3 linked regions of the Drosophila melanogaster genome follow. Changing the gene in region 1 together with any one later gene gives a genetic interaction. Each region holds a gene or a part of one and is shown on either strand. Other genes may lie near its edges.

Region 1 (6,145 bases):
CCGAGCGAGAACTGTTGCTTTACGGTACGTACGCTTATTTACTGCTTTTTTTTTTATATAATTAACACATTTCAGGGGTACTGTGCAATAAATTTATCTATATAATCCAGCGATTTGTGTGTGTGTGGCGGTACACTCTACAATATTTATAATTCAATTATTCACTTATTTATCTTTTATTAACGGCCCTAAACGATGGAAACAATAACAACAATAACAAACGGCACACCAACACTATTGCGAAAACATGTTCTGCGTAAATGTCTGCCTCTCTCGCTCGCTCCCGCAGCGAGTGTGTGTGCGGTCGTGGGTGCGAGCGCAACAGCAACAGCAACACTTGTCGGCAGCCGCAGCGCAAAACACGGAACTTGGCGCTTTCGCGTTCTAAGCTAAAATGAAGGCAGCTCCACTGAAAAGTGTGGCCAGCGCGTTCGGGCCAAGAGGTTGCCCCATTGCGGAGCTTTCATTGGGTCTAGTGTGACCGATGGAACGGAGTAAATTATTTACCTCATGGTCGGCTTCTCCGGGAAAAATTCTAATATTAATATATTAAAAAGCAAAATACGAAGTGGACTTGCAATACTCATGCATAGATATTTTAATGAATTGTCACAAAAAGTGCTCCAATTAACCATAAAAAGGAAAGTTTTTAATCTTAAAAAAAAAATACCAAAACAGTACTGAACACATTTTTCAACACTGAAGCCCCAGCTACAAGCTGTTGGCTGAAAGCTTTTTAAAATGACAGCTTAGCCCTGTACTCTTTTTGTCTTCCTCTCGCGTTTTCTCACTCCCACTGTTGACAGCTGCCATCGAACAAGTGTCTTTAAGCAAAACAAAACAAAAACAGCTGATCGGCTGCGCCGTGCGTTGATGTGAGTGGACTATCTATGTGTGCGTGCGTATCTGTGTGAAATTTGTATTTTGGGCTGGGAATCCCTCCAATTCCATTAATAATGTTCAGCTAAATAGCGTATAATCACTTATAATAGACATGAGAATGTTCTGACTGCTGACGCAATGGATTCAATGGATGTAATTGACCAGCTGTTGACTGATAAGCGGCCCATTAAGGCTATCCGCTAAGGCAATTGTGACGTCGACTGTTCTTACAAGTGCGTCGATTGGCCGACGTCACCGCTTGCCGGCTGACGTGCAAATTGGATTAAATAACCCAAATAACAGAGCTCAATTAGCGGGGGCATACAACTTTTGCGGCAAAAAAAGCACTAATGAAGATAAGCCATTCATTCATACACCTCCCACTTTTTGGACAGGAATTTCGAGCCATTCTGACAACGCTTCAATGAGTTCGACAAACAGAATTGAAGTGCCGTCAAATAATCGCTCATTGAGTGAAAGCAAACAGAGCAAACAACCAACACTGGGATACTAAAAAAGAAAGTAAAAGAAACACAAAACAAAATGTCAGTTCATAATACGTTTAGAAACTATGAATAATATAATTCTGCGAGTTCTGTTAGAAATTAAAATACTTTTATAAACCATTAAACATAGCCTAGGTATTAAAAGTTAAAACAATATTTTTCTCTCTGTGCAGCCAGAAAACCATAAAGTGTAGACACACAACATTCAAGAGGCGGCGGCCAAGAATTGTGTTGATAAATTAAATTAGCTTCGAAGATGCCGATGACTGCTCAAGTGGCTAGCATCTTTGGCAAATTAAGATAAATAAATTAGTTTAGTTTCCGTTCGGCCTGAGATGGCGAGCGAATTATTTGTTTATACAAGTGAGCAAAACAATAGAAAAGCCCATTCCAGACACTAAGTAAACAACGATGATGCCAGTTTATTTTCTGGCGGCTTCCTAATACTTTTCTTGGCACTTTTCTGCTCTTCGGAAAGTGCAAGTCAAGAAATGTTATTCGATTTTAAAAAATCCGCAAAAAAGCTACTTTTTCTTTAACATTATAAAGTAATTGGTACAAGCAAACAATGACTAAACGATAAAATGTAATGTGCTGTATTAAAGGCCCTCCTAAAAAAAGACTTATGGAAGTCACTCCTGAAATACAACTACATCTAACTTAATGGTTGACGAAATGCAACGACCTTTACACCGTAAAAGCTAGGTATTGGATAAGAACAGTTCGTAAGTTTTTCGTGCTTTTCGGCTTCTGAAGGAATTGTAGATCCCCTACTTTTCCCACCATACATATATCCCACTTTATCATCCATGAGGGGAGTGAAATCTACATGGCCCATCTACACGACTCAGCTGTTTGGCAATCTGCAGATTAGATTAGTAGTGAAAACATCGTAAAAATGGAAACACTAAATACAGCGGAGGCACTGATAAGGGCGACCAAATCCCCCAGCACCACCCGTTGATAAATACTTTTCAAATCTTCACACCAACAAAATGGTGGATACATTGTGGGCAATTCCTTATAAAAGGTTATAGGAATTGGTTGGCTTAGTTTTGATAAGACAACATTTCGGTATGCCCTTTAAAATGAGATACATTTATTGATTAGTCAGTTTGCAACGAAACCAAAACAATTGATAAGAGTATCTTATAAGATGTCATAGTAAGTAATACCTTACTATCTATTAAAAATTGATAAACATATAGGTGCCACGGTCACTATTTGGTGTTATGATAACTTAATTTGATACATACGCGTTTATATAACCCATAATTAGTTAACTGGCTTTATCAAAAATGGAATGAAATTTTTCAATCAGAGTTGGATGCGTTGTGAAATAAGGTTGTAACCATAAGGTGCTCCTACAAAATTCCTAAGATGTTAGAAGAGTTCCTAAGTTGTCCTTCAAGGTAAAGCTCTCTCTTTTCGTCGTCACCTGCACTTATGTAAACTTACCACTGCTGCCAACGATCTGCGAGGAGTGTAACCATTTCCAAATTCCTGGCGCGTTTGCTGTTGTCCCGCAACAGAGGCCGCTCGCCGGCGGGGCGGCGGGCGTGGCACGTCGCCGCCGGCCACCGAGGAAGAAGACGACGGGACGGGAAGGGCCGCCGCGGCCACCAAGCCGCTGGAACGTGCCGACATTGTTGTGTTGTTGTTGTTTGTTTCTTTTAGAGAAGCTTCTGCAATGAAAGAATGACGGAAGGAGAGAGGGTGAATATGTGCAAAGCGGAAGTGCAAATTAAGCGATAAATGACACGAAGAAGAAGAAGAGGAGGCTGCCATAAGGTAACAAGAGGGGGAAGGGTGTACAGAAGCGAAGGAAAGAAAAGCGAACAGACAACAAAGACAGCAAACAAAGTGAACAACGGTACTTGTGCTAGATGCCATCTCTGTCTGCCGCCCTGCCCCCGTGCAAGCGTGTTTCTAGTGTGTGTGTTGTGTGAATGAGGTGTGGGTGATAGAGCACAAAAGCCAAACATTTTCTTGATAATTAGCCAGGCGCGAAGCCATGTCTTTGTAGACCATTTATGGTTAGCATAAAGTTTCGCCCAAGTTTTCCACTTACGTTTACACACGCACAAACACGGGCCACTATATTTTCGCCCGATTTATGTATATATTTTGCGGTGGTATGCGTGTGGGCTCGCCTTTATCCACTATTTGCGGAAAATCATCACGTACTTCTATCACACGGCAAATTCTACACTGCTCACTATTCAAGCGATTATCACTTTGACCGCTTCGGCGGCGCACATGCCTTAATCGCCGATATCGGTCGGCTATAGGTGCCTGTATATATGTCGCACGCGCAGTATTAAATAAAATTTAAACACCGGACGGGAAAAATGCACAAAACGGCGACAAAATCGAGAACAAAACTGCCAGAGTGACCGTGTACGCGCACTGAGAACATACCACAGCACCCAGAAGCCTTAACAGTTAAGGGAAGCACTTGTTAAATTCATAAAATGGCTCGCAGGCTTTTATTGAACCAAATATTTATCAAAATAAGGTGAAGTTTCCGTAAAGCATGAAATTTGTAGTTATTATAAATATGTATATTATTATAAATTTATTAAGTAAACTAATTTGCCACGCAGCTAGTTTGGGTATTGTTCGGTATTATCTGAACACCAACGAACGGCCACACGCAAGCAGTGAAAATCCCAATGAAACGAGAAATCCAATAAGTTTTAGCGTCAATGTGTTGCAACGGTTGGTGCATTTATTGATTAAAAGAGACAAAATACCGAACCCCTTGACCGCAGAGCCAAATAATTCAAAAACACCCGACTTTAAGCCACAAAACACTAGAATCAACGGCGGTGCAGCAGCAGGAAGAAGAGGAAGAGAGGTGCGTGGTGCGTAGTTAGTTAGTGGCGAAATTGCGTATTAGAAACGAAAACAACAAGCAGCTCTGCGCGGGCCAGCAAACATTTCGAACAACCATTAGCCAGGGCAGAACAAGCCGATCCAACGTGTTGTCGCATTCGCAAAGGGAGTATCGAAAACTGATTACATGGGTCCGACGGATCAAGACTGGATCGGCTGTGCAGTGTCTATAGCCTGCGACGAGGTCCTGGGCGTCTTCCAGGGCCTGATCAAGCAGATTTCTGCCGAGGAGATCACCATTGTGAGGGCTTTCCGCAATGGCGTGCCGCTGCGAAAGCAGAACGCCGAGGTGGTCCTCAAGTGCACGGACATTCGCAGCATCGATCTCATCGAGCCCGCAAAGCAAGATCTGGATGGGCACACGGCGCCGCCGCCAGTGGTCAACAAGCCCACGCCCGTCAAGCTGCCCCACTTCTCCAACATCCTGGGCAAGCAGCAGCAGCTCCAACTCCAGCAGCAGCAGCAGCAGCTACAACTCCAGCAGCAACAGAAACAGCAGTTCCAGGAGCAGGAACGAGAACAGGATCTGCCATCGACGCCGCGGTCAAGGGCCAACGACAATGGACGGGTAGCGGCTGGCGGAGCATCGAGTTCTTCGGGCCCACGTGGCAACTTCAATTCGGCGCTAAGCGATAAGATGCATCAGCTGAAGCTAATCGAGACCAACGGCTCAAATGGCACCCTTAGGTAATATGGCCCATTAAACGATTGTGCAATGCCAATAATTTAAATTAATTGTTAGCTCTTTATAAAAAAAAAAAGTATGAAGATTTTTGCAGTCAGCACGATTGTGTTTATTTCATTTCATTTTGAAGCCATCTTTATGTTTAAACTTACCAACCTTGAGATACGAAATGAGTAAATTACCTTTATTACTGATAAAAAGCAACAGTCGTTTCAGATAGGTCTTGTGCCAACTGAGCGTCGTATTTAAAATAGGTTTCATCTAACTTTTATATTTGTTTCGTCATCCAGAACACCACAAACATCCCGTGCGTCCAGCGCTCAGCAGCAGCCGCAGATATCAACGACTCCCAACAGCGTGGCCGCCTTTTTTGGCAACATGATACCGCCGAAGGTCGAGGTGAAACTGGGCTCCTACGTGAGCAACACCCGGGAGAGTTACTGCAGCAGCAGCGGAGATAGCGGCGAGGCAACTGGTTTGTCGTTGGGCAGCAGCAAACCCATAGATATCGTCAGCAACGGAGATGGATTTTACAAGCAGACGGCAGCCTCGAGCTATGGGAATACAAATGGAAATGTAAGAAGGAATGGCAATGCCAATAACAATGGAAATGGCACCGGAAATGGTTCTTATACCAATGGAAATGGCAACGGCAACGGGAAGAACAAGCGGAACAGGGTGCGAAGGGAGAGCAGCATGCGGCAGCAACAGGTGCAACTGACTTTTGGCAGCGAGGCGGACGATCCGCTGATCCACGAGGATTTCGATTTTGAGGGCAATCTAGCGCTGTTCGACAAGCAGGCAATTTGGGACGACATCGAGTCGACGACCCAAAAACCAGATGTGGTGCGGCACATTGTGAACAATCATCATCATAAGCCAGAGCAGAAGTATCGGCACGACGAGAACATCCTGGCCAGCAAACCACTACAATTGCGCCAGATCGAAAGCATGTTCGGCGGCAGCCAGGACTTTGTGACGGACGACGGTCTCATTATACCGACGATTCCGGCTTACGTTCGGAATAAAATCGAGATAAGTGCCGATAAGGCGGGCCTCTCTCTGCAGAGGCAGATCGACATTTTGGCGCGCGGAGCCAGTGATCTGGCCATTACACTGCTGGGCGGCGCCAGGCGATTGACGCCGGCCAACAACCATCAGTGGCCGAAGATTG
Region 2 (5,735 bases), on another chromosome or scaffold:
ACAGCAGACAGAAGAAGACAGCAGGCAGAAGAAGGCAGCAGACAGAAGACGGGGGATTCAAGAGTTGCGAGTGGAGAGCAGGTTGGAGGGGGGAAAGGAGCGGGAGCGGTCTTAGCAGTGGAGCAGGCCAGTTAACCCACTAACCTTGTTAGCTTAAAAGTGGGCAGCCACTGGTTAAAGGCGCTCACCACCACTGTCAAGTTCAATGCTAAAAGCCTGCCGAAAAGGGGCAGCACACACCTACGGCCAAGCAAATAGTGACAGTCCAATTTAAATTGCAGATATAAAGAAGAACAATTTAAATGTTATGAAATATATACATTTGTTACATTATTATACTATTCAATGAATTCTAATACTGTTGAGCTAAGTATTACAGTTTGAAATTATTATTTCAAAAAAATCTTGCTTCGAGGACTAACCGCTTTGCTAAATTTAGAATATAAATGTAAAATCCTTATCACTTTGCGTGCATATAGAATTTCAGCGATTATCAGTGATGCATTTTAATGACTAGTGTATGATGAATTGAGAACATTGTGAGAGTATGCCTGGATATGTACATACATATGTATGTTGTACCACATGCCCCATCATCATGCCCCCTGCTGTGCGGAAAAAGTAGGCGGGGAGGCCAGTGGGCGTGGCGGGGCCTGAGGTCATGCGATGGCCTTCGAAGGAGGCGACATGCGCAGTGGGTTAGTGAGCCATTTGGCTGCTGGATTGCGGGGCTGTGGAGTGGGAGGTGTTTATATAACAACAATGCTAGTGCAGGCCCGCCGACATTCGCCTGCAATGTGACCTTCACCTTGGCAGTGGCCGCAAGGCCGCGCCTGCACCACCCACCCAATTTCCACACCACCAGACCAGCCCATGTCCGCCCAATCCAGCCCATTCTGGTAAGGCCCCCTGGCCTTGATCTTAAACTTTCCCACGAGAAACAGACAGGTATTCGGTATTCACCTGATTTCTTGCTGCTGCCTTTGGATTTCCAGTTTTCTGCTCGACAGCAATTTCTATTATTATTCTTGCAGCTGCCGTTGATGTTGTTGTTGTTGTTGTTGTTCTCGTTGTTCTTCGCACCTTTTTTTCTGCAATGGGAAATTTGCATAAAATATTCAATCAACTTTCATTGTTCCAGGCGGCTGCCATTGCCGGGCTTCAATTTCGAGCACATAAAAAAAATGCAAACAAACAGAAAGCAAAACAAAGTTCTCCCTCTTTTTTTGGGTAGTTTCTCTTTGAGCCTACGCGATTAAACAAATTAGCACTGAAAACTTGTTGAAACAAATATGCCGCGAGCTTGACAAATTGACAAAGGAAGATTTACGCGTTTCAATGGATTCTTCTTTTCATCTCATCGAGCTTACACTTTCCCAAAAAACCAGAATGAAATCGCAGAGAGAGCGAGTTTTCGAAAACGCGTCCGATTGCCAGCGCCGTTTAAGTTCGACTGAGTTTGTGGCGCGTTGTTCGTGTGCTACGGAGGCCAGAAATCAGAAATCCAGCCGCCAATGCTGCGACCTCCAATCGGGCTGAAAAAGGGTTTTAGTCACGAAAGTTTTTCTTGAAACAATTAATCATTTATATCACTGATTAAAATTATTTTTTTTGTAATTTTTTCCTTAGTTTTTGAATTTTTAAAAGCAATTTTCTTGAAAAGCCTTTTAACCTTTTGGTTTTCAAGACATTCTGCTTTTGCCAGCCTGCACATTTTGAGCACCCGCTGCAATTTTACAGCTGCCAGCTTGTGTCAGTGTGCACAATTGGAGAGACTAAGTTTGCGTATTCAGTATTTTTTAGGTATATTGTAAACTACTTTTACAATATTGTTTAGAAACAAACTCTCTCATTTTCCTAGTTTCTATTCGGTCTACAATACAATTTCTTTAAAAAACAACATTAATACAATTACGATATCTGACCGGAACGGTGGAATATCGAACATGGGGCAGTTTTTTATTTATATATTCTTTTGTTATTTATAGGTGAATTCTAAACAATATAAATGCAAAAAATGTTAAAAAAAAAAAGATCTAACTATCTATGTTCGACCTAAGTTTAGAGAAAAATCGACTCCCCACTCTTTGGGGTATATCTCCACTCGTAGGACATTTCTTTAAGGACATTTCAGGAAAAATGTAGTTGCCATAAAAAATGTTTACCTAGTTTTTGAGATAATGGCACTCATATCATTATTATTATGGACTCATATTAAATACCATTCTTATTTTTAACAAATTTTATTCTTGTTCAAATGTACTTTTAGAGGCTCAAGTTTGAATAAAGTTGTTGAAGTGAAATGGCGCAAAGTAAGACCCTTTCATCCAGCAGTATTATTTGTTCGGTATTTTTGCTGGTATTTTCGGTTCGAATGTTTTTGGAAATGGAAAAGCAGAGCAGAGCTAAATTGCAATCAGATCTCGACGCGACGGCGGTGAAGAAGCATCAGTAAAAGCGCGCGGAAAGTGTATGTTTCAAAACTCCGCTCAGAAAACCATATTTGTTATTGTAAATAATATTCCCTTAGAAGTTTGGAATATTTCCCGCGACAATTTTTTTTTCGGTGAAATTTCATACCGTTTTGCCACAAAAAAAAAAGAGGAAACCAAAACAACGGAAATAGTTAATAACAAAGTGCGTGAGCCTTTTTTTTATTATTATTTTTCGTGTGTGTAAGAGCGGTGATTTGGCGCTGTGTGTGTGTGTGTGAGTGTATTGTGCATCTCACTGTTACTTGTGGTCGTGTAGGTCAAGGTGAAGCAGCTGCACCGTTAGTTTTCCACCCATTGACTATGCAGTTTTCAATCGCAAATGCATTTGATATTATGCATATGTGTGTGCAGAAACCCTAAAAAGTCAATATTGCAGTTAGTAGCTCTCTTTCGCACTGCCCACCCTGCCTGCCTCCCAACCACCCTCCCTCCCGCTCGCACCTCATCGAGTGAGATAAGCACTAGATAAGCATGTGTACGTAAGTTACTGTTAAGCTTAACCCTTAGTGAACAACAAACTTGCACGCAAATGAAATGTGAGGTTTAAAAATATATAGAACACAATTAAACAAAAATATGAAACAGTAATTAAAGTGTGGGAGTTAATCCCCCCAAAAATCGCAACTATAACCGATTAATATGCGCTAATAAAACTAAATATATATATTTTCAGTACTTACCTATGTTATAAATTAGTTGCCCATTTTATATTAACTTTTAGTGTCAATTTAATGTGGCAGCACTAGCAGCTGGCAACGTGCAGCAGTAACAACAAAAACATAAAACAACACCGGATTGTGCAACCTGCAACTTGCAACACAAGCGGCAAAACGGCGTTTCTACCGCAGCGTCGCCTCTTCGGCGGCGGCAATGTGCCCCCCTCGGCGACCATGAAGCATCAGCCGCCGCCCCCGCCACTCCCGCTCAGCCAACCGCCCACGATGGGCGCTACAGCGGCGGGGGGCGTGGCCAGCGTCATAAGCACGATGAACGGCAGCAGCAGCAGTGGCATTGAGGCGGTTAAATGCCGACCACCCATTTACCCCAAACGTAAGTAAAAGCCTCTTTCCATGCTGCACACAAATTTGTAAAAAAAAAAAAAAAAAAAAAAATCAGAAAAGAAGCAGACGAAAACATCAAGGGGTTGATGAAGCAGTTTACAAAGGGGTTCACCGTTGTATTGTATTGTATTGGTATTGGCACTACTTACTTCTAATGCGTAAAACGCATTCCCAGAAAACTCTGGTATTCTCATAATTTGACTGAAAAAAGACAATACTGAACACAGTAAAATTCCTGGAAATATGAACGTAATGAAATGATGTAATGTTTGTGAGATTTTCGAAATCATCAATCAACGAAAGATAAAACAGATCACCACCATTTTCGCTCGGTTAAGCTTTTATTTGGAATTATTAATTAATTTCTTAGTAACTCATATCTATGATGCATAGCTAAACGAAGCCTACATCATAACATGGCTCAAGTTATCATACCAAATTGATAACGAGAACGACCTTTAAAGATAAGCGGTTGATTAGCTACAGGCCCAGTTAACCGAATGACATTAGTTTAAAGAATGTTAGGAATATTATAATATTAACATTTAGGCACAACTCCACATCTTGGCTTACAGTGCATTTGGGTTCCCTTTTTTCCACGGGCCAATTGCATTTGGCTGGATCGATCTTATCTGGTATTTGGCATTCGGTATCTGGTAACTGGGATCTGGAATATGGGATCTCGATAGGCTGCCCCATTACGTGGGGCCCACTTCGCTGCTTTTCCGCCGACAAGAAAATTGACTGGCCACCGTAACTACGTATGTATATGTACAAATATATATGTATGTATATATGTACATACTGTATGTATTTTCCGATGGTTTTGGTTTCGGTTTTGGAGGAAAGTCGACGGCGGCGGCTTCCTTTCCTTTTTGCCCACTTCACTTTGTTTTGGCTTCGCTTTCGCCTTGGATTTTTTTCATCAACTTTTTCTTGGCTTTTCGACTGGGGAGTTTGGACTGAGTTGGTTGTTGGTTGCGACTGCCGTATTTGGTAGGCGTAGACTGTGTTTTTATTTTATTATTATTTTTTTTTTTTTTTTTGCCCCATGTTTTCTATTTTGTTCCTACTTCTCAGCTTGTGTAGTGTGGCCGCACCCAAAACCACCCAGCACAATCCCAATTGCAGATCGGTCTGGGCCTTGGGTCTTTGGCTCTTTGGTCTTGGCCATTTGGCTACTTGGCATTGGCCTTAACTTGGTAACTTGGTTACTTCGGTGGGCAACGTGACCGCAGCTAACGGTTCTCCTGGTTGACATGTCGTTAGTGGCCGATGAACATTTGTGTCGCCGATATCGGGCTACGGCCCTCCTAACTTGGCCGAACGACCTATTGGAATCTATGTTTACTATGCTACACCGCAAGAAAACGAGGTCAATTATAAGCTTTTCAATTGTATTTGATGTCTATCTCAATAACTTCTCAATGGTCATATTTTTGATTAAAATTAAAAGAACACAGTAACGTCTTAAAGTAAAAGATTACATTGATCCCAAGATGTTATCATCATACTTATTATTATATTATTAATCACTTATGTTCTAAGACATTTATGACTCAGTAAGATTTGTTAATATCCATTAAATTCAATTGGAATATATTCCCAGCCGGTTCATATGGAGTGTAATATTTTTATATGCATTTATTAATCGATTCACAATTTGGTGAGCAATAGTTTTTCTCACTTCATTCAGCTAGCAATGACTAGCAAACACATGTTTACATACAGACATCTAGAATAAAACGTGATAAGATAAACGCAATATTTATAAATTTTCACTGAGCTCACCTCAACTGGTGTTTTATTTTGTTAGTGGATTATACAGTGTTTACTAGCCAATTATAGCAAGTAAGCCAGTTTGAAAATATTGGCATATTATGGATATATAATGGATACAATCAAATACAGTGTTAAGTCAGTCAACTCTCCCCAAATGGCGTTCAATTAGTTGCATTGGGAAAAATCACGCTCATCGATTGTCTAAGTTTAGTCATCCATTTCCATTTCCATTTGCTATTTCCATGGTGCATTCCTTTCGCATTCCAAGTTTTCCAAGTTGCAGTTCCAATTTTTATTATGGAAGGCTTTCGTTGGTTAGTTCCAATTAAAAATGCCGCAGCCTAGCGTTTAAAAACTCATTAGGAGCCAACTTCATTGTTATGGCAAATGAATACAC
Region 3 (9,178 bases), 120 kb from region 1:
AGTTAACACAGAAACTACAAAAAATGATAACCCACAACTCGGATAGCTCTCGAAATCGAATTTTCTTCGCAACATCTAAGCCGCTGCACCGTTTACAATTTACAATTGGCTTAATGTAAAACTGTTCAATACATTTAGTATTTAAAAGAAAATTGAAACTTTCTTGAAAGCTAATGCAATTTTGGACTTGCGAGATATCCCAATAAGTTTGTGACTTGAAAGTGTAGTAAACGGATATACAAAGTATATTTTTGAATAACATTACTTCTATTTTAAAGAAATTGATTGACTAATACATTTGAGGGAATACTTTCAAGTCCATAGTGATTTCGAGAACTCTGCAAAATAAGTTCGCGTTGATTTTTCGTGTGCTGGGTCTGGGGAATAGAGGGTGTTGGGATCGGTTGGTTGGTAGCATTCGAGCCTCCTAGCCACCCACAACGTATTTACAAGACGACCACTGGAAAGCCTCCAGGTGCACCTAGTAAAAGAATAGCAGCCGTTCCTGGGCAGAGGCGGAAAGGAGGCGCCACGATCGCTTGATGCTGACATACTGTATTAAAGCGCGTATGCTGATCAGGAAGCCAAAGGCACAGATCAGCCACCAGAGCCAGGAGTTTTCGTGCGAGGCCAAGTCCGTCGAGTGCTTCACGATCAGCGTCCATTTAGCCAGCGACAATCCGAATCCCGACAATGCTCCATATCGGGCGGCGATTGTGTGACAGAAACAGGTGAGCATCAGGAAGCCGATCCAGTTAAACAAAAAGGCCACAATGAAGGCCGTGATGAACATGATGTCCGTGCCGAGCAAGTTGTCGGTGGTGGACAGACTATTTTCCGGATCGCTGGCATCGATGGCGATGAACGTGAGTGCCGGCTGGGCAGATCGCACAGCAGCGGCTCCATCGCGCAGCGGATTTGGCGGCAGTAGCGGATTCGGCGGCGGCGGTAGCTGCTGCGAGGAGGGTAAAGTCAAAAAGGCGGGCGGCAGCTCTCCGTTCAGCGACTTTTCCATTTGAACCTCCTCGTACGTGGGCAACTTCCCGTGTATTTCTGGCGGCAGTTGTGCATTCATAAGGTCCGCCTGGCTCGGCAGCTGCACTTGCATCTGTATCGGGATCTGACTGGGATCGGGTGTGGCCAAGGCCAGCGGTGGCATCTGAGCCGGCAGTGCTACCTGCTGGCCATGGCCAACGTTCGCCTCGTACGGTGGCGGAGCACTGAAGTCCGCCTTTGGCGGTCCCAACTGATCATCCCCGGGAGACGGCTGGTTGTTGTGCGGCATGACTGGAAATTACAAACGGAAAACGGGAAAATTAATTCAGTGCTTAAGGGGTTACAAAGCATATGAATTTTTTTGACAGCCTAAGGTGACGTCTCAGAAAAGAAGATTCTTAAGAAATTCTTTTCTTTCTTACATACTAAATTTAAGATATCCTTATTTTCGTGTAGCTTAACAGATCAACTGTTTAGTATTTACATGCATCTCTGAAATAAAAGGAAAATCAAGGCCATGGTGAATTTTGTGCAAACTATTCCCAATCAAATTCTAAAGGTATTCGAAATTTGCATTATCTAAATTGAAAGTAAAGCTGGTGATTTAGTTCTCGCTTTTATTGACGATATTAGTTCACGCGTTTTTTTTTTTAATAAAATTAGGTGTATAATAAATAAATGGGCGGCTAGCTGCCAAAATTGCATTGAATTATATCTAGATTTATTTTTATCTCTCTCTGAGCAATCAGTTTTCGTTCGTTAATACTTGATCTAAATGTGTTATAGGCACGTCAGTAGGCACTTAGAACTACGGCATTCGCCATCTCAATCAGATGGCAAAAATAATAGTTTCGTTTAGCAGTTAAAATAAACAGTTGGACATGTTAGACATTTAAAAACAAATGAGCAGCCAGGCTAATTAGTTAGCGCAAAAGTTCGTTGCAATGCCTGGGGCGATTGGAGGCTTTCGCTTGAAGGTGGGCCTCCTCCAGCGATAGGATGCGGCAGGGTCCAAAGGGACGTCTCACTGGACGTAAGGGTCGCAAGCCATCCACCTCGTCCATGCCCTCGTTCTGACAGCCACCGTCGGTCGTTGTGGTTGTGGTGCTGTCGTGCAGCTTTTGTTTTTGCAGCTTCTCGTGTCGCAGATACAAAACCACACAGCACATGGCCATAAACAGAAGGGCCAGCGTTGCTCCGCTAACAATGCTGGCCTTCTCTAGCATCACACGGTTCCTGGTTGGCAGGTACGAGCCATCAATCTCCTTGTACTCGCACCTCGGACCCATAAATCCCAGCGCACATTCGCAGTTGTATAGGATTTCATTGTGGATCTTCACCGTAAAGCAGGTGCCATCGTTCAGGCAATACCAGGCGACATAGGTCGGTGGACAGGCGAAGATCGGGAAGGTGACATTCGGTCTCGGCGTTGTGGATATTTCCACATTATCCGGCGGCAGGATCGGTGCAGCTGTTGGCCGCGGCTTAGCGATGGCACGCGAGGAACAGGCGGCGGTGAGCGGTAGGTAAGCGCCGATTAAAGCGGTGGCAAGCAGCAGCAGATCCTGGGCTCGCATCTTGATCTTAACTCATGGCAGCTTACTTGGGAATGTGGCAATGCAGTTTAAGGTGTTTTGTAATGTGGAATTCTTGGCTTTGGCTGGCAGGCGGCTGCAAAACAAAAACGAAGTGCAATTAAAAACAAATCAAAAATGTAAGCTCGTGTTCGGGTCTGTGTGGGTTAATTGCCTGCCTAGCACCGCCAGCCGCCTCCTTCTCACAATTACAACCTATGCTCCTCGACCTAAGTGAGAACGAGAAACAGAAAATCGAATTTCATAAATTTTTAACAAAAAAATGACATCGTTTATTTACCTGGCCGGAATCGCGAGCGGAACCCAAGCGGCTGTGGCATTTGCACAGCCTGCATTCATTATCAATTGGTTTTTCTGTTTACACTCTCACTTAACATAGCGAACACTTCAGGCACTTCAATATATAAAAACTGTTTAATACAAGATGTATTTAAACGTATAAAAAATTGATTTAACCTTAGGATTTCGAAACGCCTTGTTATAAACAAGATCTTTTCCGGAGAAAGAATGAGCTTCATTAGAATGTAACTGATCCCGTTGCGTATATAAACAAAATAATTCGAATGATCAACAGAAACAACGATGTTGAGTAATTCTGCTGAAACAAATACATCATTTGTAAGCAACATTTGAGTGGCGACCATTTGAGTGGGCGTAAAAAACATAAACAAATTAGTGCTCGCCTTAGTTGTGATCCACAATAACAGTGTCGTTTTCAGAAACACTAATTTTCGGAATTCCACTTAACGTAAATTAAAACTTTCTAAGTGCTTTCAATAAACGCTAGTCATGCCAACTTAACTGTCTAAATTTATATTAGGAAATATGTCAGTGAAATTGAACTATTTTTTTATTCAAACATGCAATATTACATTATTAATCAAAACTAAAGTTATATTCTTCTACTTGGAAGTGAAGGAAAGAAGAGCGAAACAGTTGCAATTATAATAAATATACACTTCGTTTTAAAAAGTTTTGCTTTCGTCACCTGTTTGGATGTTAGCACATTAAATCTAATATTTGTACTTTATTTCAAACAGTCAATTATATATAAGATAGCATTTAGCTTTTATTTTCTAGGACTCTCGTCACTAGTCGGAATCTCAATCCACAGTCGCGAGTCCTTGGACTAAACCGTGTCCAATTGCTTTGTAAAGCTCAACGGAGCCCTAAGCCCCATAAAATTTCCCCTTTCCTCCCATCACATGTGTGGCACGCACCTACGTCTAAAAATAACAACAACAAAGCTCACGAGTGAAAGTTGACAGCTGAAATGGCAGGAGAAGAGTGCGAGTGCGAGTGCGAGTAGGACAGTGCGACAGTCGCAAAACACAAATGCAATTAAGATGACCTTTCGGTCAATTGAAATATAAACGGAGCCAAACGAGCAAAACAAAAATAGTTCAAGCCAATAAAGAAACTGCGTGAGTGGGCTTAAGTTGGCCCTAATTTCTGCGAGTGCATATATGGGTTTTTTGTATAGTTTTTTTTTATATCTGTGGGTATGTGGGTGAGCCGGACGTAAGCTTGAATAATGAGCTAATAGGCGCCAACGAGCTAAATGAGCACCTGGTGGCTTATCAAAAATTGACCTCACAAACAGCAGAGTACACAGAAATAAATTTTGATATCATATATGATATGATTTTTGTATCAGAATACAAAAGACTTTGGTTTCATATGCACTCAATAATTACTTTTGTATACACACTTTAAAATACTTCAATAAATATAGGAAAACATAAACAGTACTATTTGTATAATTAAATTTAGAGGTGTCCAATTTTTTTCGTGCGCAGGAATATCTAAAATCACAGTCAACACAGAGAAACCGTATTGATAAGGTGACAAATACCATCCACAGGTGCGGAAAGCAAGTGGATGCTAGGCAGTAATTACAGTTACCTGTGGATGAGTCAGATGTGCGGGCATTTGAAAAATTGCAAAATTGCACGAAACCGAGAGATTGCACATTGTACAGTTGAACTTATCTGCGTTTTGCCAATACATTTGGTAATATCATTTTAAATAAGACTCTATAGTGACACACAAAGATTTGGAGGATTTCACAATCAATCCCAATGTAAAGCGACTTTGCTCATTCTTATTTTTTAAGAATTCACTAACAATCGGGCTCAAGTACACTTATCGTTAACATGCTTCAAAGCTGGCATATAATTATTTTCAATGTAATATATACATATAAAAACTTAGGTAAGGTTCTCTGGAAAATACACTGGTTTTTCCATTGAAAAACAATAGATGTTTAAACCGAATAAATCGATTTGCTTTTAATGCGTATGCATTCGGCTAAAAATAATTTTTGAATCTTTAAAATAAATAGAAAAGCTTTTACATTTCTAAATGTCAACACATATGGAATTACCTTTGAAACAGATGAGAAATTTTGTGCAAAATATATACATATTTTTTTTTAATAATTCCATCTGGATTTGTAATTCCAAAAGTGTTTTTGTATCTAACAATATACAGTATTAAAAAAACAGTATTTGGTATCTATAGAATAATATGTGGTTTGTCATAGCCAAGTTTTACTGCGTATGCGTGTATGTAAAAATAGGATTGGAGAGGGAGTTAGAGCTCTCGAGAGGGAGAAAGCAACAGGGCCGTGACAAAAGGCGTTGGAAATTAGGGAATTGCCGTGGAAAAGTAACAACGCAGTTTGGGCCAGGTTTTGGGTTTCAGCCGGAGTTTGTTCGGTGATAAGAAATTTGAGCGCGTGGACAGCTGCCAAGCAGCAGGTGTGCGCAAGGGAGAGGGCGATAGAGGAGGCATCAGTGGAATAAAGCATAAAGTAAACCAGTTAAACGGGACCGGGAGCACAAGAGAGAGGATGAAGATGCAAGCGGAAGAAGCTGAAGAAGATGCAGATGGAGCTGTCTGAATGGAAGGTCTCTCAAGGGGCAATTTCCTGGATTGAATGAAAAACACACAGGCACCGACAGCTGCAGTGGTATTGCAGTGGAATAGAGAAAGAATAAGATTAGGAGCGAAGAGGGGAGGCGGTCGACTGCGAGAACGAGTTTCCAAGCAAACGGCGCTTGTTGTTATTGTACAAGGGCAAATGAATTAATTTACTTGAGTAAATATGAATTAAATAAACAAGTACACCGACACAGGGGTAGACTTATCGGAGTGTGCACTTTTTTTTTTAGCGTTTAGCACCTGAGTGGCGAAATCTAGCAGAATTAAGATTATTAATGTGCTAAACAAAACATAAACACATGTACACACACAAACGCACAACTGGGGCTAAAGTGCTGAGGAGGGGGAGAGAGAGCCTTAAATCTCCAGGAGTGCTCCTGTAACGGTTATTTGTTTCCCTTTCTTCGCCCTTTCTTTTCACGTCTATTTCTGTACCCGATTTTAATTCGATTTGATTCTAGTTCGCCTTTTCTATGCCATGTTCTATTTATTCACCTTGTTTTCTTCTATGCGTTGGTCGATTGCGATTGCGTTCGCTTTTCTCTTTTGCGCAGCGCTCTCTCACGTTTCCGTTTTATTGATTTTGTTCGAATTTTGTTGACTTGTTGTTGCCAAACACGCACACAGCTAATACTGTTGGTTTTTTGGCAGAACTGCGACAGTAGGCGTTTCGCTTTCAAGTGGCTTCACTATACGCAATTTAAATAATTTAAAACTGGGCTCACTTCGCGAGCGAAGCGAAAAAAACAAATGCACCACCACGAATAATCTTCGATTTCTGAGCTAGTGGTGGCCAGCTGCTGGGCAGTCCGTATCGATTGTAGGGATGTAAGCGTGATAAGCTATCGAATCACATGAAATTAGTTATTAACATCGGAAAATAAACTTGCGTACTTGAATATAAAAACCTGAAATTATTTTGTACACTTTTATAGTGACAAAAGTTTCAAATTGCTGAAAAAATATCAAGAAATAATAATAATAAGTTTATTAAAGCTGTTCAAAAGTTTGATTAATTGTCTAATTCATAAACAGTATACGGAATACCCTAAACGATGAAAAGACAAGCAACCCGAATATAATCGATAAGCCTAAATAATGTTATTTTCCCTTCTACTCATCACTAAGCTAAGAAAATTTTGTAAACAACGACGTGGACGTAGTAAATTTAATTAGAATTTAGCCACAAAAATGCATAAATGTGCTATATTTCTTCTACTGGCTTTAAGTGTAAGTTATGTCTGAAGCTAAGACATGTTTTTAATATATATTTTATACCCTACAGTGCCAGCAAATTCAAGCCGAATTGACGGCCGCCGACTGCCGGGCGTTGGGTTTTATTAAGGCCCAGTTAATGTGTTCCAGTTGCGAAAAACTGGATGATTTCGGATTGGATACCATCAAGTGGGTTCAATAACATTTAATTAATCTAGCTTTGGAGTTGTAAAGATACCCATGAACTATGCTATAATCATTCCATAAGAAGACCTGAAAATTGTTTAATTAATATGTTAATCTAATTAGATCAGGTTAAATTTCATACCTCATTTTAAATATTCCAACCAAAAATGCTTAGCTTGACTTAGTAAGCTCCTCCATACCACTGACTAAATATGATTCTTCCTTCAGTTTTTAATAACAAAAATTATATTAACTTTTTATAGTTTCTGCTTGAGCCCATTGCTCTTTTTTATTCATCCAAAACATTTTTAACATTTCAGGCCTCAGTGTAAGCAATGCTGCACTTTGGATCAGCAGCCGGCGGCACAGCGGACATATGCCAAGGCAATTCTGGAGGTGTGCACCTGCAAATTCCGGGCCTATCCGCAGATTCAGGCCTTTATTCAAAGCGGCCGACCTGCCAAGTTCCCCAACCTGCAGATCAAATACGTAAGAGGACTGGATCCCGTGGTTAAGCTCCTAGATGCCAGTGGCAAAGTGCAGGAGACGTTGTCCATAACCAAGTGGAACACAGACACTGTCGAGGAGTTCTTCGAAACGCATCTGGCCAAGGATGGTGCCGGCAAGAATTCGTACAGCGTGGTGGAGGATGCCGATGGAGATGACGATGAAGATTACCTGCGAACCAACAGGATCTAAAATAAGCATACCCAAAACTGTAGATTAATAAAATCCGAAACAAAACTATAGACCGTACCATTTTCTTTCAAAATCATTGAATATTTATATTTTGTTAAATATATTCTGTTCAAGAACTAAAAATGTGTAGACGTGAGATTAGTACTCCAAACTTCTGGGATGTCAAGCCACTGAATTTAAAAAATATAAACATCAAGATCAGGGATATACATAAAATTGGCTTGTAATATGAGAGATCTAATCTAACTAAAGAGATTTAGTTTTTAAAAGTTTTTAGAGCCACTGCAAGGTGGCGTGAGCTTTTCTACGCGCCACCGCGGAAAAGCTGTGGACACAGTTTGAGAGTAACTGACAAGCCAGTTACTGCAATGCGACGCCGTGGGAGTTTTCGATTCATAAGTATAAATTAAATCATTTTATTTGTTATCTTGTTATCGATGGCAAAGGAAAGTTCCCGGCTGAGGCAACAAATTCGCGGCATTGTAGCCGAAATTCTTATCGCAAAGACATCACACCACACCACACCCCCCCCCCCCCTTTGTGGCCGTCAGCAGTGACGTAGTGGGCTCACATGGTGGGGGTCCTCAAGTCGATCAATATTTGATCAGCCTGCTGGAGTAATTGTGGTAACTGAAACGGCAAACAGCATATTTCTGCCCGCCAAAATCGTAGCTGATGTCTATTTCCGATCTGTGACGCAGCCTTGACATCGCCGTCTTTCCGCTCTCTTAATCTTGTTTTTATCCGGATACCGCGCATGATCAAACAGTTCCTAAGTCAACCATATATTCATATAATAATGAGATCGGTGCTCTTAGAAAATATCACCAAAAAGTAGTGACAATTTAATAATAATGTCTTGCCTAACACTTTTACCTTAATAACTACTTTCTACTTTGGAATACTTGGATCAAATGTTTTTAAAGTGACATGAACTGCAATGTTTGATATCCTGACAAAGGGAGATATTTATTAAATTTATTCAAGTTGGGCTTGGAAGATCTAAACTGTGAAAAGCTTAAAATATTGTACAATGTGGATTATTTTATAGCTGACCTCCATAAAAATGTCTTAAATATAAATAGTATTGCAACGTGCAGTTTATTTGGATGCGATGAATATAAACAAATACAAGAGTATTTATGCAAGTAAACGTCTAGCTTTATTAGCATTTTGAAAAATGCATTACAAATTCTATGATGCTCCTACAACTGATTACAGCATCACAAATTCGAAGAGCAAATAATATTGTTTATAGGCCCACCGCACTATCGCCTGTTTACGTTTCATTACAAGTATACACTGATATGCATTATTAATTCTTATTTGCTGTCCTTGTTGTTAGTTATTGCAATTTAAGGCGGCTACAATGGGCTGTGGTACCTCGTCATCGAGAGTTTGGCGAATGTTCCATCGTCCTTGCACCACTGTGATGGACCCTTTATCAACGCTGCCCTTGAAGGGACTTGCAGCCAGTACGCGTGCCAATACATTCCAATCCAAATCCAATCTCGAACGTCAATGCTGGGCCCCTCTGATGC

Evidence for each region. A genetic interaction does not mean that the proteins touch.
Region 2: of Nedd4 (region 1) and Septin4, changing one enhances a phenotype caused by changing the other (phenotypic enhancement), as found in Drosophila melanogaster (one study listed by BioGRID).
Region 3: of Nedd4 (region 1) and Ndfip, changing one enhances a phenotype caused by changing the other (phenotypic enhancement), as found in Drosophila melanogaster (one study listed by BioGRID).

Annotation. Positions count from the first base shown.
Region 1 is NT_037436.4:17,527,737-17,533,881, reverse strand, and holds the start of Nedd4 (Nedd4), read right to left. Parts: upstream 3,802-6,145; 5' UTR 3,460-3,801; intron 3,074-3,459; 5' UTR 3,036-3,073; coding exon 2,847-3,035; intron 377-2,846; exon of another isoform or gene 234-376; intron 132-233; exon of another isoform or gene 33-131; intron 1-32. Other genes in the region: Edc3 (enhancer of decapping 3), read left to right, coding at 4,414-4,973, 5,262-6,145. UniProt on the Drosophila melanogaster protein: Essential E3 ubiquitin-protein ligase which accepts ubiquitin from an E2 ubiquitin-conjugating enzyme in the form of a thioester and then directly transfers the ubiquitin to targeted substrates.
Region 2 is NC_004354.4:16,691,853-16,697,587, reverse strand, and holds the start of Septin4 (septin 4), read left to right. Parts: upstream 1-2,414; 5' UTR 2,415-2,470; exon of another isoform or gene 2,471-2,974; intron 2,975-3,168; exon of another isoform or gene 3,169-3,216; 5' UTR 3,217-3,385; coding exon 3,386-3,545; intron 3,546-5,735.
Region 3 is NT_037436.4:17,647,960-17,657,137, forward strand, and holds the start of Ndfip (Nedd4 family interacting protein), read right to left. Parts: upstream 6,322-9,178; 5' UTR 6,033-6,321; intron 2,668-6,032; exon of another isoform or gene 2,574-2,667; coding exon of another isoform or gene 1,920-2,573; exon of another isoform or gene 1,603-1,919; intron 1,288-1,602; 5' UTR 1,286-1,287; coding exon 482-1,285; 3' UTR 1-481. Other genes in the region: Krn (keren), read right to left, coding at 1,920-2,573; CG7484 (uncharacterized protein), read left to right, coding at 6,729-6,767, 6,823-6,941, 7,259-7,637.